2 linked regions of the Astyanax mexicanus genome follow. The protein of the gene in region 1 interacts with the protein of each later gene in a pairwise test. Links are inferred from orthologs where the notes say so. Each region holds a gene or a part of one and is shown in the gene's direction. Other genes may lie near its edges.

Evidence for each region.
Region 2: the proteins of mad1l1 (region 1) and ubiquitin carboxyl-terminal hydrolase 15 interact in binary tests that used the Homo sapiens proteins (3 or more experiments, as listed by UniProt). The two-hybrid records come from large-scale screens. The link is inferred for Astyanax mexicanus from reciprocal best matches to the Homo sapiens genes MAD1L1 and USP15.

What each region holds. Positions count from the first base shown.
Region 1 is NC_064428.1:4,219,508-4,227,522, forward strand, and holds the start of mad1l1 (mitotic spindle assembly checkpoint protein MAD1), read left to right. Parts: upstream 1-4,487; 5' UTR 4,488-4,635; intron 4,636-8,015. Other genes in the region: pmm2 (phosphomannomutase 2), read right to left, coding at 3,145-3,219. UniProt on the Homo sapiens protein: Component of the spindle-assembly checkpoint that prevents the onset of anaphase until all chromosomes are properly aligned at the metaphase plate.
Region 2 is NC_064409.1:16,810,384-16,818,828, forward strand, and holds the start of ubiquitin carboxyl-terminal hydrolase 15, read left to right. Parts: upstream 1-5,073; 5' UTR 5,074-5,113; coding exon 5,114-5,202; intron 5,203-7,403; coding exon 7,404-7,531; intron 7,532-7,731; coding exon 7,732-7,862; intron 7,863-8,445. UniProt on the Homo sapiens protein: Hydrolase that removes conjugated ubiquitin from target proteins and regulates various pathways such as the TGF-beta receptor signaling, NF-kappa-B and RNF41/NRDP1-PRKN pathways.

The sequences.
Region 1 (8,015 bases):
CCACAGAAAGATTTATTAATTGATTTAAAGTGAAAGTTAACATTTCTCTATATTTGAAATAATGTGTTCATTCTGTGTACATCTTGAACAAAATGTTAAATATAGTTTACATGAAATTTAAACAACTATACTGCTAACACAAAAGGCATGCTTTATTGATATTGACTGAATAACAAGTTACACTGCTTCCAGCTCCTGTCAGCAGACACGCCCACATTCCAGACTGACAGCTGTAGGGAGTCTGACCAGTGCGAAAGGTGGATCACTGGGATACTTTTACTAACCAGTTAAACAAGCCAGACCACAATCCCAGTCCTCAATCTGGAACAGCAGGTCTCATGTGAATGCACCCAGTTCACTTAACAATGAATATATATATATGAATAATGATATAAACTCATCCTAAACCAATGCAGTAAATCTCTTTTCACAGAACTGATACTATAATCGGGGTTTTAACTGATTTAACTGAGAGATTTAACTGAGAGAGTACAATCATCCGATATTTTATGTTAGATATTAAATGAGCTTCAGAGAACTGAAACATGTGTTACTGTGATTATGTTGCTTGGGGTACAGTTCAGAACAGCTTGAGAAGGTTCTCAGGCCAGGTCCCCCCACAGCTAGCTGATGAAGATGAGGGTGATGATGGAGTGGAGGTGGGTGCAAGGTCAAAAGTCACAAAGTGAGGAGCACCTCGGAGGTAGGACTAGGGGGAGGAGCTCAGGAAATTGAGGCGTGGTCCATATCCCAAAATGTTGTTAATTCTTAACAACACTAATACTTGAGTGCCACTTCTGATGGCATCAGCAGTTACAGCAGCTTGTGTATAAATCACTGTGTCTCCAGGTTAAACTATTTTTCTGCTGGTTTTCTTGGTTGACTAAACAGATCACAAAGGTCATGACTCTCACCATCCTCCTAAATATCTCAGCTGACTGACTGCATCTGGTGTCAATGATTAATCATGTTCTTTTCCCAAACGCAGGTTTAGACAGAAACATGCTCTACTTGGTGCACTATGTAGTCAAGAGAGGGACAACTGAGACTCACTTTGGGCTGCGTTCAAAACCACATACTGCTACACTAGTTTAACAGCATTAGGGCCATTCCAGCGAATGGGTGCCATTCGCTTGTTGTTTAAAAACAAGTCCACTTATTCCTTATGTTTTCTCTCAAGAAAGTATTTATTTTAAAGAAATGTTTGACTGCATGTTCAAATAATAAAATAAATAATAACTCCTGTTAATGCACTCATTCCTGTTACTGGAACTCGCTCCTGTTAAAGTAACAGGAATGAGTTTTTAGCATAGAATTAGCAAAAACATGAAAAAGAGCTAAATGGCAGATAAGGGCACTGGGCACATTTAAGTACAATAAAATTAAATATACAGAAAAACAAATAATCTTAATTTTGGTCTTCCCATAGTCTTCAGAAGAACCAGCTGATGTCACTTCCTGTTGTAGATGTGACTTCCTGTTGTAGAATGTTCCTGATGTTTTAGATGATCAGGGTAATGTGGTACAGTAACAGGACTGAGTGAAACCCAGCGACACAAATAAAACGTGTATATTCAATATTGTGGATTTATTATATATTAAAAAAAAATAAAGTATAGATTGGATTTGGAGTCACACAACAATGCAAAAAAAAATACATCTCCGAAGGATTTTAATAATTATAGTTAGAAAGTGGGGACAGGTAACAAATGCTATTTTTTCAATATTCTAAGTAGTTTTTTGTTAATGTTTTTATTACATCTTACTTTGCAATTAGGTCAATGACTTGAACCGGTTGCTGACTGTGATCTTTCTCAGCTGCTTGTTGTCGCGAGCAGAAGTTTTTCGGACGCCGGAACAGTTGGTGCGCTTGCTGCAGTTTTTCTTGAGAGCTTTGCAGACGGAAGACTGGCTGATGCCGAGCTGCTCAGCAGTTTTAGTTTGGGTCAAGCCTTGTTGGCGAAGGGCTTGAATTTGAGCCACTATTCCGGTTGAGAGGTCGCGCTGCTTACCCATGATTGATTTTACAACTTAGAAATTCTACTCAACCCTGACTTTATACTGCACAGTGAACACTCTTCGGAGAAAACAAAAATTCGAGCATTTATTCTAATTCAATGAAACGCTTTCTCCATTATTCTAATTCAATAAAACAACAGTGTCACAGTTAAATGGCCTAAATGGGCCTTTTGGAAAGCTCAGCTGAGCAAATTGTTTTCCAGGTAACGAGTTCTGTGATTAGTCTAACGAGTAGGACAGGTGCGGTGAACACCTGATTTGCTTTCTGCACAAAAAATGCATTCAAAGAATTTCATGATTGCACTATTTCAAATTATTCTAATTCGTTGACCAGCACCTGTATTTTGTTATTCTGTGTGCACATTTATAAATGTAGTTTACTGGGGACAGAAATGGCACCCATTTGGTGGAATGGCTCATTACAGTCTATTTACAGTCTATTTTAGTCTGAAGACCAGCTTCTGCTGGTAGCTGGTTTTGGAAGGTCTAAGTTGGTCTTTGATTGATAAGGTTTTTGAACTGCTGGTCAGTCTGGTGAAAACACCCACTATAATTGGGAAGCTAGCTGGTTAACTAGCTTTTGGTCAGTATAGTAGTTACATGTTGCATTTGATCACACTTATTTGATAATGCTGGTTTACCAAGTGGTCTTAGTTGGCCATGCTGGTCATGGTGGTTGTATACTTTGGAAAGGCTGATCATAGACCAGTTAAATCATCATATCCCATCCTAGTCTTATTCTAAAAGGTTGAATCAGCTCAATCAGCTTGAGATCTGAGCCTGCTGTTTGTTTTCAGCAGGGAAGTGCACTATATAGTGTGCACACATGGTGACAGTTGAGACTCACCCATCTGTATTCAAAACCTGATACTAAGTTACTACAGTAGCTAAAGCATTCATATACACTAGAGGTGGGTAACCCAGGTCCAGAACATAAAAATCCAATCCATGGTTTTGTACCAACTGTGTGGGCAGCTCTGATGATTAAGCTCAGCTTCAGCTGAGCAGCACGGGCAGTTGGTACAAAACCCTGGGTTGGATTTTTACTCTCTGGAGCTGGGTTACCCACCGCCAATACAGCTCCTCCGCAGATGAACACACTACAGTTAAAGTGAGTGATCTTACCTGCCGAGCTGCTGTCAGGGTCCCGTCCACGTCGAACAGACAGAGGGTGGAGGTGTCTGTTTGCGGGGGGCTCATCTTTAGATGATAAAAGGATCAGTGATACTCAGAGAGAAGTGAAAGAAGTGAGAGAACAGACAGAACAGCAGAACTCAGCAGAGCAGGAAGCAGACACGTCCTCCACATCCGCGTCACCCACTACTACAGTTCGGCCGCGGAGGAAAGGGAGGGGCCTATTTTTAGTTTTTTTATATATATATTTTTACATATTTATTTATACATTACAAATGTTACAGAATCATGTTGGTGCTTAAAAACATTACAAAAATATAATAATACAGTAATGTACAAATCATAAACTAGATACCTTTCAAGCTCACAGGGGGCGGGGCCTGAGGAATGTATGAATGGGATTTCCCTTAACGCCAATCAAGGAGCCCGTTTATGAATAAAATCCCGCCCTTCAACAAAAAAGAGCCATACAGTTTACTAAGTACTAGACACAAACCTCATAAGTAATAATAATATTAATACTGAAAAAAAAGGGAGATTATGAAAAAATAATCATTATTATAAAAAAGATAAGAAAAGAATTAAAACAGATTTAAGATTAATCAAGTTATAAAAGCACTTAAATGTAGCATGTAGCAATTTTTTACAAAGATGTTTACATTTTTTTCTCAGTCCTTTTACCAAAATTCATGTAACATTTAAAAAGCATGTCCACTAATTCCTTTCATTTTCTTTTAAGAAAGTGTTTATTCTAAAGTAATTGTTGACTGCATGTTTAAATAATTAATATTGTTGACAAACAAATACTATATATGAACGCACATTCTATTTTTCTAAAATATGCAAAGTTAATTTATTTTAGCAAGAAGACCCAACCCTGAAACTGATCAAATTTATTATCATCGCAATTTATTAACCAAACAGAATTGGACAGGGTGTTTAACATTAACCAATATTTACACTAATAAATCACTAAACGAGAGGACTCTACTCACTCCTGTTACTGGCGCTCACTCTTGTTGCTGGCGCTCACTCTTGTTGCTGGCGCTCACTCCTGTTATTGTCACTCACTCCTGTTATTGTCACTCACTAAGGGTTCTGTATTGTATGCTCAATGTTGTCTGGTTCTGTGTTCTGCGTTCACATTTATGTAAAGCTGCTCTGTGACATCAGTTCTAAAAAGCGCTTTATAAATCAATTTGATTTGATCGAAATGCTCCAGAATCTAGTAGAAAGTCTTATATGAACAGCAGAGACAGTTACTCCTAAAGAAGCAGGATAAACTATTTTACGCTTAAATTAAATGAGGCGGTGTCCCATTATTTTTGTCCTCAGAGTGAACGCCGCGTCCCGCTCGTTAGGTGGCGGACTCGGCCCGCTGTAGGGGATTATCCGCTCCGGCTGAGCATAGAGGAAGAGCAGCAGCAGCTCGGAGCTGGAAAGGAGGGAGATTCAGATTCAGAGCTGAGCTTCAGACTTCAGGCGAGCTTATCTTTTAAAGATTTAAACTTTACACGGAGAAAAGCTGGAAAATGCACCGTGTGCGATTCGGGTCGTTTTTGACCTGTCTCTGCTTCTACCAGCTGATAGAAACGATGTGGAGTCTGCTGGCTAATTTGTTGTGGCTATAAAACATGTGTATTGGTGTTGGAATTATCCGGTCCACCTTAAATATTTTATCAGTTTGGTTCAGATATATGATAGTTCACTTATACGCACTGACGGGTCATTTAAGGTGGACTGGAACGTTACAGGAAAAATAACTAGCTAAAAGGCGAATATAGTTAGTTAACCTAGTTAGCTAACTAGTGTTTCTAATTCTGTTGCGTTTTGAATTCGCTAGCTAACTATTAAACTAGCGTAATTATTTATTAGCTAACGCGAAATGCCTTCAAGTATTTCAGTTTCTTTTCTGGAAACATTAGCTAGCTAACTAGCTAAGCTGTTTTCAAGATGAAGCAAGTCAGGCTTCAGTGCGCTAACTAACTAGCTAACATTGCGGTAAGTTAGCTAGCTAGCCTAGGTTAGCTAACTACAGCTCAAACTAAAAGTTTTTACCGCGTAAATTTAGTTAAAAGTTAGGGTTAAACCGCTGTTTTGCCTGAAGTAAGTAGTTTTAGCCATACAGCTAGAGTTAACTAGCTAAATAAACTAGGTAGGTTAGCTAGCTAATTAGTTACTCAGTTAGCAACTCCGTGTGAGGCCTGTGTAAGTAGCTTAACCCCTTAACAGGCCAAAATGTTTGTAAATTTTCTGCCTGATATTACGCACCTAAATCTTGAAGATTTATATTCAGGCATTACATAATAAGGTTTCATGTTTGATAATAAACGTTACTATAATTGCTAATTGTAGCTGTAATAGAAAGTATTTAAAAAAAGTAAATATGCAACTTTACAAATATAATGAATAACCATTATACATTTGGCACTTTGTCCTCCGAATCCTTGGTTTCGTTATGTTTGTCTAGTTTTTATGTCTGTTTTTAAACCTGCAGAATTTGGGTTGATTTCTGTTACTGATGTGGAAGTGTAGAGAAAAAAGGGCAGCTTCTCCAAATGTCCTGTAGGAGATTACAAAGCCCACACATTTTCAGAATGTAAATAACGTATTTTACTATTTGAAAAGGTGGGCCATTTGGGAAGCCCACCTGGGTCCCAGTAACACTTCAAACTCACCACGTAGCCCACATTCCACCCATATAAGCCCCACAGATGCATGCAGGCTGGGAAGCTACCAACAATTTCTTTTAAAGGCAAGACTGTGTCATTTACTGTGTGAGATAGGGGTTGCCTATATTGCAATAAAATATTATCACAGTGTTTGAGGGTATTTTTGCGATAACTATTGTGCTGCCTTGTGCCGATTGATCACCCTTTGGAGTAATAAGGAGAAAGAGCATCATCTACACACCCAGAGAGAGCAAGGCCAATAGGTAGCCGATGACAAGCTACATGAACAGGATTCGAACTGGCAATCTCCTGATCACAGTGGCAGCACCTTAGCCTGCTGGACCCCTCTGAGCCCAACATTTGAAATTAATTTTAAGAATATTCTACTGCAAAACAAAATATAAAAGTTTATGTAGTATGAATTAATTTCATAAATACAGTAGAAACTAAAAAAATATATAAACAGTCTATTTTGTAAACAGTAACGAATAATATGTGTAAAATAGTAATCTGGCAAAATTAAAAATATTTAAAAAAGTAATCGAACAACAATATTCAACAAAACTAATGTGTACAGCAAATAACACAGTAATAAATACAGAAAATAGATAAATAATAGAGGTGTGCCAAAAAATCGATTCACATAAGAATCTTGATTCTCATTTACTACGATTCAGAATCGATTTAAAATGTCCCAAAATCGATTCTGAGGGGCGGGTTTTAGACTGATTTTGGGCTGGGTATTTTTGTTGGACCTGGCAACCCTGGGGATAGCGCTTGTCCTTTCAAACGGAGATCTTCCAGACACACACAGAGCGTAGGTGTTTGAGAATCACCGGTAAGATGGCAGAACAAGCACTATATTACATTAGATTAACGTGTAGTTTCAATGTTTTATGGCAGAATGCTTCATAACAAGCATAAAAAAGATCGCTAGTAGTTAGTTTCAGTAACTGTTAGCTAGCTAACTAGCTAACTTTCCAGTTCCACCTTAAATAACGCTACAGGTGGCAGCGGGCTGCAGCATTTAAGGCGGAACGGAAAAATAACAATAAGCTAATCAGAGCTAATTTCAGCTCCTCATCACAGAGGAATTAAGGAATGGACCATATGAATTAATTTCTCCACCTCCTGCCCCCTTTCTGAAGAAATACAACGACCTTAAATTAACTAGTTAATCAGCAGCTGCTCCTGAACTTTAGCGCTCCACTGCTATCATCACATCAGCCCAGCAGCGTCACCTACACACCACCGCTAGTAGCCTGGTAATAAAGCAGTGTTATTTATTATTTATTTATTGTTCATTAACGTCATTGTGATATCCCAGTGATTTCTCTGTCACTGAGGACCCACATTCCTGCACATTTTATTGTTTTTGTAACACATTACCTGCTCCAGGACCAGTGTATATTATGGAGGGTTTTTTTTTTCAATAAGATTCATAAGCCAGAAGCAGAAATTTTTATAATTCAAATCGTTTTAAATCAAAAATCGATTTTGAATCGAATCGTGGCCCCCAAAATCGGAATCGAATCGAATCGTGAGATAGTAAACGATTCCCACCCCTAATAAATAAATACAAAATAGACTGGTTTCAATAAGTTTATTGTTTTATTGTTTTAGAAATGTCTGTGATAGTTTTGAACAATACAATATGGCACACCCTTCATGTGATTATTTGCCGATTTCTAAAATGTTACAAATGGTTGGATCAAATTGAGGCTCTGTGATCTAAACATTCCACTTTAAAGCCTCTTTAAAGTAAAGAGCACTATCAAATCAAATCAAATCAAATTTATTTTTATAGCGCTTTTTACAACAGGTGTTGGCACAAAGCAGCTTTACAGAAACAAGCAGCTTTACAGAAACAGAACACTACATTGTAGAGGTATTTAAGCTCTATTTTGCTCCAGACCTCTTCTAAAGAGGTTTTCCTTAATTGGTTGGGTTGTCAGTGTTAAAATAAAATATAGATTTTGACCTAGACCTCTGGTCTCTGTTATGTCTGAGTACCAACACAACTAGGCCTTTGTGTTATTGTATTTATCTGCGTTAAAGCAGCACTAGGTATGATTTTCTTGATTTTTGATCTTGTTAAAGAAGTAAAACTACAGCTTGAAACTCACTGCAGCGCTGCATTGAGGTGTAATAGGAGGAATAGCGGTGCTCTCGTGTCTGTGCCGGAGCTCC
Region 2 (8,445 bases), on another chromosome or scaffold:
TATTAATGTTGAGCAGAGGCCTTTCAACCTGATCAGTGCTTAAATTCACATGTAAATCTAGTGAACTTTGTAGGATATTCATTAAGTGAGTTAGAACTAGTCAAAAGGTGTCTACATGTTATTGGTATTGATCAGGTGGCTTCAACCAGAATGTTCACAAAGTGGTATTCAGATTGACCTTTGAACCTTTGCAGAACAAGCTGAAATGTTTGACCAAACAAGTTTAAATTAACACAAAGGAGTGAATGTTCTGATATGACATGTAATTACGAAGTTATTATAAATCTAGTTCTGAATTAAATGGCGCTTCATCAAGCACCAACTAGCACAATGGTGCCTACTAGAGCATAGGATGGTGATGTGTAAGAAGGTCTAACACAATTGGAGACATTCTGTCACATTTAGAAATGATCAAAAGTCTTTCACCTGTTATTAATGTTGAGCAGAGGCACAAAGGAGTGAATGTTCTGATATGACATGTAATGTCAAGTTATTCTTAATCTAGTTCTGTATTAAATGGCGCTTCATCAGAGTGATATTGTACAGAGGTCTTTAACATTGTGAGATTACAGCAAATACTGCAGAGTTACAGCAATTTAGGTTAGAAATTCCAAGGACGCACAGATTGCTTGATGCCTGGAGAGTATTGTATGTGAAATTTTCACAAATGTTTTTAATGAACATTTACCTAGAGACTCTACAGTGTGCAGCAAGACTGAAATGGAGGTGATAGGCCAAATATCCAGAGAGTAGTTTCAATATAGCTATTTTCAAACAATTAGCAATTATGAATGAACAAAGCACTTTTTAAACATAGTTGTATTGAGAAATTTGTCAGAGCCACTGTACTAAATATGGCAAAAACAATTAGATGTCAAAATAGTACAGCATGATTGACATATACTCGTTTTTTTGGAACAGCGCCCCCCAGTGGGCGGATTGTTTCAGCACTTTGCAGGTCACTACAGTGTCTCCACCTGAACATAACTGCCAAATATCATCCAGATTGGGCAACATTCAGCCTGCCAAAATGTCTGCTGAATGCTGATTGGCTGATGGTGTTCAGCCATGTTGATTGATTAAGTTGCCCTTTGAACATCCTTTAGAGGCTGTATGATAGATTCTGCATGCAAAGTTTCAACTTGCTAGGTTGCACGGTTGCTGAGAAACAGTGCTCCAAATTTACCTCTTGAAGTGAATGGGGCATATATCCGGAAGGACTAATTTGCATATGGCGGCCATATTGTTTACATATTTCAACTTTTTCTTAATGAATATTGAAGCGCATGCTCTCACGAGTGTTTTGATACCAAACATGCCAGGATTGGTCAAAATTCCTAGGACTAGTTTGCAAAAGTAGGTTTTGCATATTATGCAAATTAGCAAAAAATCTATATAGACGGAAGTGCATGGTCCAAATTGGAAAGTTGTTGGTATTGACCCAAGGAATCCAGCAAAAAATAATTTTGAATGTAGGTCTTATGGTTTTTGAGTTATTGAGAAAATTGTGAAAAATGAATTTCCTTGTTTATAGCGCCACCACTTGACCAATCAGTGCCATTTTTGTTGTGCACCGAGATGCACTGATCCTACATCTACCTACCAAGTTTCATTTCTCTATGACTTACGGTTTAGGCTGCACAACTGTTTTTTCAGGAGAAAAAGAATAATAATAAATATAGCCGCAAGCGGCAATCATCGGGTTCAAGCACCAACTAGCACAATGGTGCCTACTAGAGCATAGGATGGTGATGTGTAAGAAGGTCTAACACAATTGGAGACATTCTGTCACATTTAAAATGATCAAAAGTCTTTCACCTGTTATTAATGTTGAGAAGAGGCACAAAGGAGTGAATGTTCTGATATGACATGTAATGTCAAGTTATTCTTAATCTAGTTCTGTATTAAATGGCGCTTCATCAGAGTGATATTGTACAGAGGTCTTTAACATTGTGAGATTACAGCAAATACTGCAGAGTTACAGCAATTTAGGTTAGAAATTCCAAGGACGCACAGATTGCTTGATGCCTGGAGAGTATTGTATGTGAAATTTTCACAAATGTTTTTAATGAACATTTACCTAGAGACTCTACAGTGTGCAGCAAGACTGAAATGGAGGTGATAGGCCAAATATCCAGAGAGTAGTTTCAATATAGCTATTTTCAAACAATTAGCAATTATGAATGAACAAAGCACTTTTTAAACATAGTTGTATTGAGAAATTTGTCAGAGCCACTGTACTAAATATGGCAAAAACAATTAGATGTCAAAATAGTACAGCATGATTGACATATACTCGTTTTTTTGGAACAGCGCCCCCCAGTGGGCGGATTGTTTCAGCACTTTGCAGGTCACTACAGTGTCTCCACCTGAACATAACTGCCAAATATCATCCAGATTGGGCAACATTCAGCCTGCCAAAATTTCTGCTGAATGCTGATTGGCTGATGGTGTTCAGCCATGTTGATTGATTAAGTTGCCCTTTGAACATCCTTTAGAGGCTGTATGATAGATTCTGCATGCAAAGTTTCAACTTGCTAGGTTGCACGGTTGCTGAGAAACAGTGCTCCAAATTTACCTCTTGAAGTGAATGGGGCATATATCCGGAAGGACTAATTTGCATATGGCGGCCATATTGTTTACATATTTCAACTTTTTCTTAATGAATATTGAAGCGCATGCTCTCACGAGTGTTTTGATACCAAACATGCCAGGATTGGTCAAAATTCCTAGGACTAGTTTGCAAAAGTAGGTTTTGCATATTATGCAAATTAGCACAAAATCTATATAGACGGAAGTGCATGGTCCAAATTGGAAAGTTGTTGGTATTGACCCAAGGAATCCATCAAAAAAAGAATTTTGAATGTAGGTCTTATGGTTTTTGAGTTATTGAGAAAATTGTGAAAAATGAATTTCCTTGTTTATAGCGCCACCACTTGACCAATCGGTGCCATTTTTGTTGTCCACCGAGATGCACTGATCCTACATCTACCTACAAAGTTTCATTTCTCTATGACTTACGGTTTAGGCTGCACAACTGTTTTTACAGGAGAAAAAGAATAATAATAATAATAATAAGAAAAATCTTAGCAAAAACAATAGGGTTCTACGCACCTTCGGTGCTTGAACCCTAATAATAATAAGAAGAAAAATCTTAGCAAAAACAATAGGGTTCTACGCACCTTCGGTGCTTGAACCCTAAATATTCATAAACCTACAGGAAATAATAATTTAGTGTGGTTTTACAAATTCCGAACAGTTTTTTTTTAACTTGCCAAGCACAGAAGCTTTTAAATTTGGCTCAGTCCCATTTCTCTTTTGTACCCCTACCCATTGATTTTAAGTGTAACCCATCCCTTTAGAACAAGGTTAACTAGGTAATTTTAGGTCATTGTAGGTCTTCAGGAAGGGGGCAGGTGGGGCAACAACTAATTGTTATTGCCCATTGCCCAATTCCTCTGTGATGGGAAGCTGAAATTATATTTTTTTAGCTTTTATTTCGTTTTTCCGATCCACCTTAAATGCTGCAGCCACTGCAGTCTGTTGCACCATTTAAGGTGTTACGGGAAAGGTAGCTAGAAACTAAGACAAACTGCTTATTGTTTTTTTTATTTGTTTTTTTTATTTTTTTTATGAAGAATATAGCTACAAAGTATTGAAACTTTAACATTAAACTATGTTAATATAACTAGTAGTTATTGTAAATTTTTTACCAAGAAAAATACTTTGTGGGTTTCTTTGTTCGTTTGTGCTGCCATCTTGCCAGTAATTCTCTGCCACCTTTTTTAATGTGTGCCTCTGAAAATCTCTATTTGAAGTGCCATATACCTCTAACATTTTACCCCAGGATTTACCCTGTGCAGGTAAGTTCTGTCTACCTGTAATAGTCAAAGGTGAGTTTCTGTGGCATGAACGAAGATGCAGTTCTATAAACTGAATGCAGTGTCTGTTGTGAGAAGACTACTCATGTTCCCATTTATCTTCATAAGGAGAATCTTCAAGAGATCAGGTCACATGCCGCAGTTCAGAGTGACAGCAGTTGTCTGGACCTGCCACCTGTCAGATGTGGGGGTTTTGAAACCTCACCACGCCTTACGGAGCCTCGTCCTTGTGTCCCACTGAGTTTCGGAGGGGCACTGGGTGATGTATGGGTTTAGGTTAGGGCAGAAGGGAGAGCTGATTGGGCTGAGCAAAGTAGCTCTGATAGCAGTGAGACGCAGATGATTGGACGTCAGCAGGAGGGGGCTGTATTATTGATTAACTGATTGTATATTGTGATGTGTCTGCATACCAAAGTGCACAGGCACATCATCCTCACCTTTAGCTCAGTTGAACCTGAGAGGGCGCTGCAGAAGCAAAGGAACTTCAAAGGGAACACATGTCAGCTATTAATGGAAATAATATGGTTTAGGGTTTAGTGCCTGTGGTTTGCTGTTGTAAGCTCTGTGCTGGCCAGGCAGTTTAAGCCACTGATTGGCTAAATGTATGTCTCTCTAGAAGGATGCACGCAGGTGATTGGTTACATCTTTTATTTGTCAGATTTTTGATAATTAGTGAACCCTGTCTCTGTCAAACAAACAACAAATAATTAAACAAAGAAGCAAATAAAAAAGAACAAACATAAATAAGCAAACAAATAAATACAGGGGTATGAATGAATTAATAAATAACTACATTTAATTTACAAATTTACATTACCGTCATAAAAATAAAAGTTTTTTATTTAAACGCAACCAATTGGTTAACCATTTCCATCAGTCCGTTACTGCTCAAGCCTCTGATTGGCTAAATTCATATCTTGTGTCCAGAGCCTGCTTGTGTCAAACGCATCTGTCTGTCAAGAAGAATACACGCAGATGATTGGTTCAACATTTCCATCAGTCTCTCATTCCTGAATCCGCTGATTGGCTAAACCCGTGTGAATTCACGCAAATGATTGGATCAACATTTCCATAGGTCAGTCGTCTCTGCATGTCTTAATCCTTTGATTGGCTGAACTCTCCTGTTCGTCAAAACCTACGCTAACCTCTGATTGGCTAAACCTCAGCCTGGCGTCACAGTCGCTCCCCCCACTTTACTATCCCACAATGCAGCGGGCGATGCCCAAGGAAAGATGGCTGAGGGAGGAGCGGCTGATCTGGACACTCAGAGAGGAGAGATCACAGCGCTGCTCAAGACGCAGCTCCGGAGAGGGGAGACGTGGTGAGAGCTGACCGCCGACCTTCCGCGCCTCCGGCCCTGCCGCTGCCGCGCCTAGCCGCCGCTGAGCGGAACGGGCAGCAGCGCGGAGGAGCCGTGTTGACAGCTAGTCACCGTTAGCCGTTAGCAGTTAGCTGGAAAGCGGAGACCGACAGCGGGCTGTGTGAGGGTTATTCAGCAAAACCGCAGACCCCCAGCACCTCCACAGCCTGCCCGGTTCCGGGGGCTGAGAGCCGGCCGACCCAACGCGCTCCTCTGTGGGTCTGGAGTTAGCTGGCACTCGCTAACGGGGCCATTCAGGGCGGAGACGAGACGAGACGCGAGGAGCACCTGTCATTTAGCTTCCCAGCTGCCCCCAAACATCTGAAGACGTTGTGTTAGCTATCTGGTTAAATGTAGGTCGAGACGTCGGGCGACCAAAATGCAGGGCAACGTCTAATGCCAAAGTCATTTGACATTGCTAGAGTATATTAACCTAGAGGATGTATTGGTGTTGTGGTGTTAAGTACTTGTCAAAGTTACCTAAATTAAACGTCTTCCAAACTTCACATGCCAATGTCACGTCAACATAACATACCACCATTTTGTTGTAACACATGAACAACATGTAATCATGGTACTGTCTACAAAACGTGAGGTTCTAAGATAGATTTACGTTGATGTTATTCAGCATTTGCCTATCATTGGTTTTTGACCAAAGTCCAACGTCTTTAAAACGTCAGGTACCAACATCATATTGACATATCATACCAACATTCAGATTTAAGTCATTAAAGCAAAAAAAACGTGTAATTTGGGGCCAGCTGGTATGGAAACTTAATTTAACGTCTGTCTAATGTTGGGACGTAATGTAAACCTGCTGTCTATCAAATTGACACAACATACCTATATTTAGGATTTAGACAAAGAAACAACAAAAAACAAAAAAATATAACACTCATAATGTTAATATCCACAAAAAGTGAAATACTAAGGTGGAAAGGTGGAAAGACATTGCAGTGGTGATCAGTAATCAGAATTCAGCCACTACTGTTAAGATGTTTTTGTTGGATATGTGATTTCCAACCAGAATTTAATCATTAAACAGATTTTCGTTTTGAACAAAACATCTGTCTGATGTTGAAGCTTTATGTCAATCCAATGTAGGTTTTTGACAGATATGTAAATTTGATTTCTAACCAGTAAAATGTTTGGTTTTTGAAGTCTTTGAAGCCTGATGTTAGAGTCCAACGTCTTTTTGACGTCAAATTGATAAATTGTGTCTGCTGAATTTCCTCTGCAGCTAAGCATTTGAAATGCGTTTAGGCTGATTGGCTCTGGAATCCCATGCTCAGATTGTGTATCTGCCTAGCTCTCTAGCCCTCCATCTAGCTGTCTAGCTCTTTGTCTGGGTGTGTATTTACTTTTTTATGCAGTGCTTATTTATCTATCTCTGTATCACGATATCTAGATTTTGCTGTCTACCTATATATATATATATATATATATATATATATATATATATAGCTTTTTGTCCAGCTGTCTATCTACCTGCCTGCATTGTTTGTTGTCTAGTTGTCTATATACTCAGCTATCTAGGTCTGTTTTGCTGTTTATCTACTTAGATGCTAGGTCTTTATCTAGTTATTGGACTACTTAGCTATAAAGCGCTGGAAAAAAAATAAGAGACACTTAAAGTTATCCAAAAGCAATGTGTAAGACTGGTGGAGGAGAACAAGCAAATATGCATAAAAAAACTCTAGGAATATAAATATTTGTGTTATTTGCATGATGTGAGGTCTGAAAGTTCGGCATCTTTCTCATTTTCTGCAAATAAATGCTCTGAATGACAATATTTTTATTTGGAATTTGGGAGAAATATTGTTCGTAGTTTATAGAATGAAACAACAATGTTCATTTTACTCAAACATTAACCTATAAATAGCAAACTCAGAGAAACTGATTCAGAAACTGAAGTGGTCTTATAATTATTTCCAGAGCTGTATATGTCTCCATATAAGTGTCTGTCTAGATAAATCTGGATCTAGCCTTCTAGCCAAATACAGATCTTGCTCCCTCTCTAGCTGTTTTTCTATTTGTACAACTGACTGTCTGTCTGCATAGCTATTTAGTTAACTGTCTATCTGTCTGGTGTGTGAACATGATTGCAAATGCTATAATTGGTTTACCTAATTGTAACCATTCCTATCCCTGGTTTATCTCAGGTACTTAATAGACAGTCACTGGTTCAAGCAGTGGAAGAAATATGTGGGCTTTGACAGCTGGGACAAGTATCAGATGGGGGATCAGAATGTCTACCCCGGACCGGTGGACAACTCGGGTCTCCTTAAAGGTTATTAACTGTTTCATATTAGTAAACCAATTTTTTTTTTGTTGAAAGTGTTACCTTAAAAATGAGCGATCATAAATAAGCTTTATTATTTATTGATCCAGAATGATGGTGGTGTTTTAGGAAACATCGTCCATATACTATAAAACATGAGCTCTTAGCCACACAATTGATCAGTGCTTATCTTTGCATTTTGTTCTTAGATGGCGATGTACTTGCCATTAAAGAGCATCTTATCGACGAGTTGGACTACATCCTCGTGCCCACTGAGGGCTGGAATAAGCTAGTGAGCTGGTACGGTCTGACCGATGGCCAGGAACCCATCGCCCGGAAGGTACGTATCTAAATTTGAGTATTCATGCTATGATGGGCTGTGTTATACAGAATGTGATGCAGGCAGTGTGATTTGAAAACGGTGCCAGTTCACGTGAAACCAGGGCTGGTTTTATTGCGCCTGTAATATCGGACTTAGCATATGTCCTAGTTGTGGTTGTGGCACATTAGATTTGCATGGAATCACACAGGAAGCATGTTCTGCTATTTCTGTCATATTAGTTCCCTTTATTAGAATAAAAGTTGCTGTGCTGTTTTATAATGCTGAGTATATTTAAGGATGAACATGATACAGTTCATATATTGATACAGGTCAAATATTTATACTAATAATAATAATAATAATAATAATATAATAATGTTATTTTTCTAATACAAATTTGTCACTGATATATTATAACTACAGCTACTACAGCAAATAATAATACTGCAATTACATCCTTTTCAAGAGATATACCGTTTTAATTATGAGAAGTTTGGTGTTGATTCTTTTTTTTTTTTTTTTTAGTTCCGCCTGTAAATATAAGTTTCAAGCATATATTTAAATGCTTGTTGAGTTAAGCTATCTGTAAACTAGACCTTTC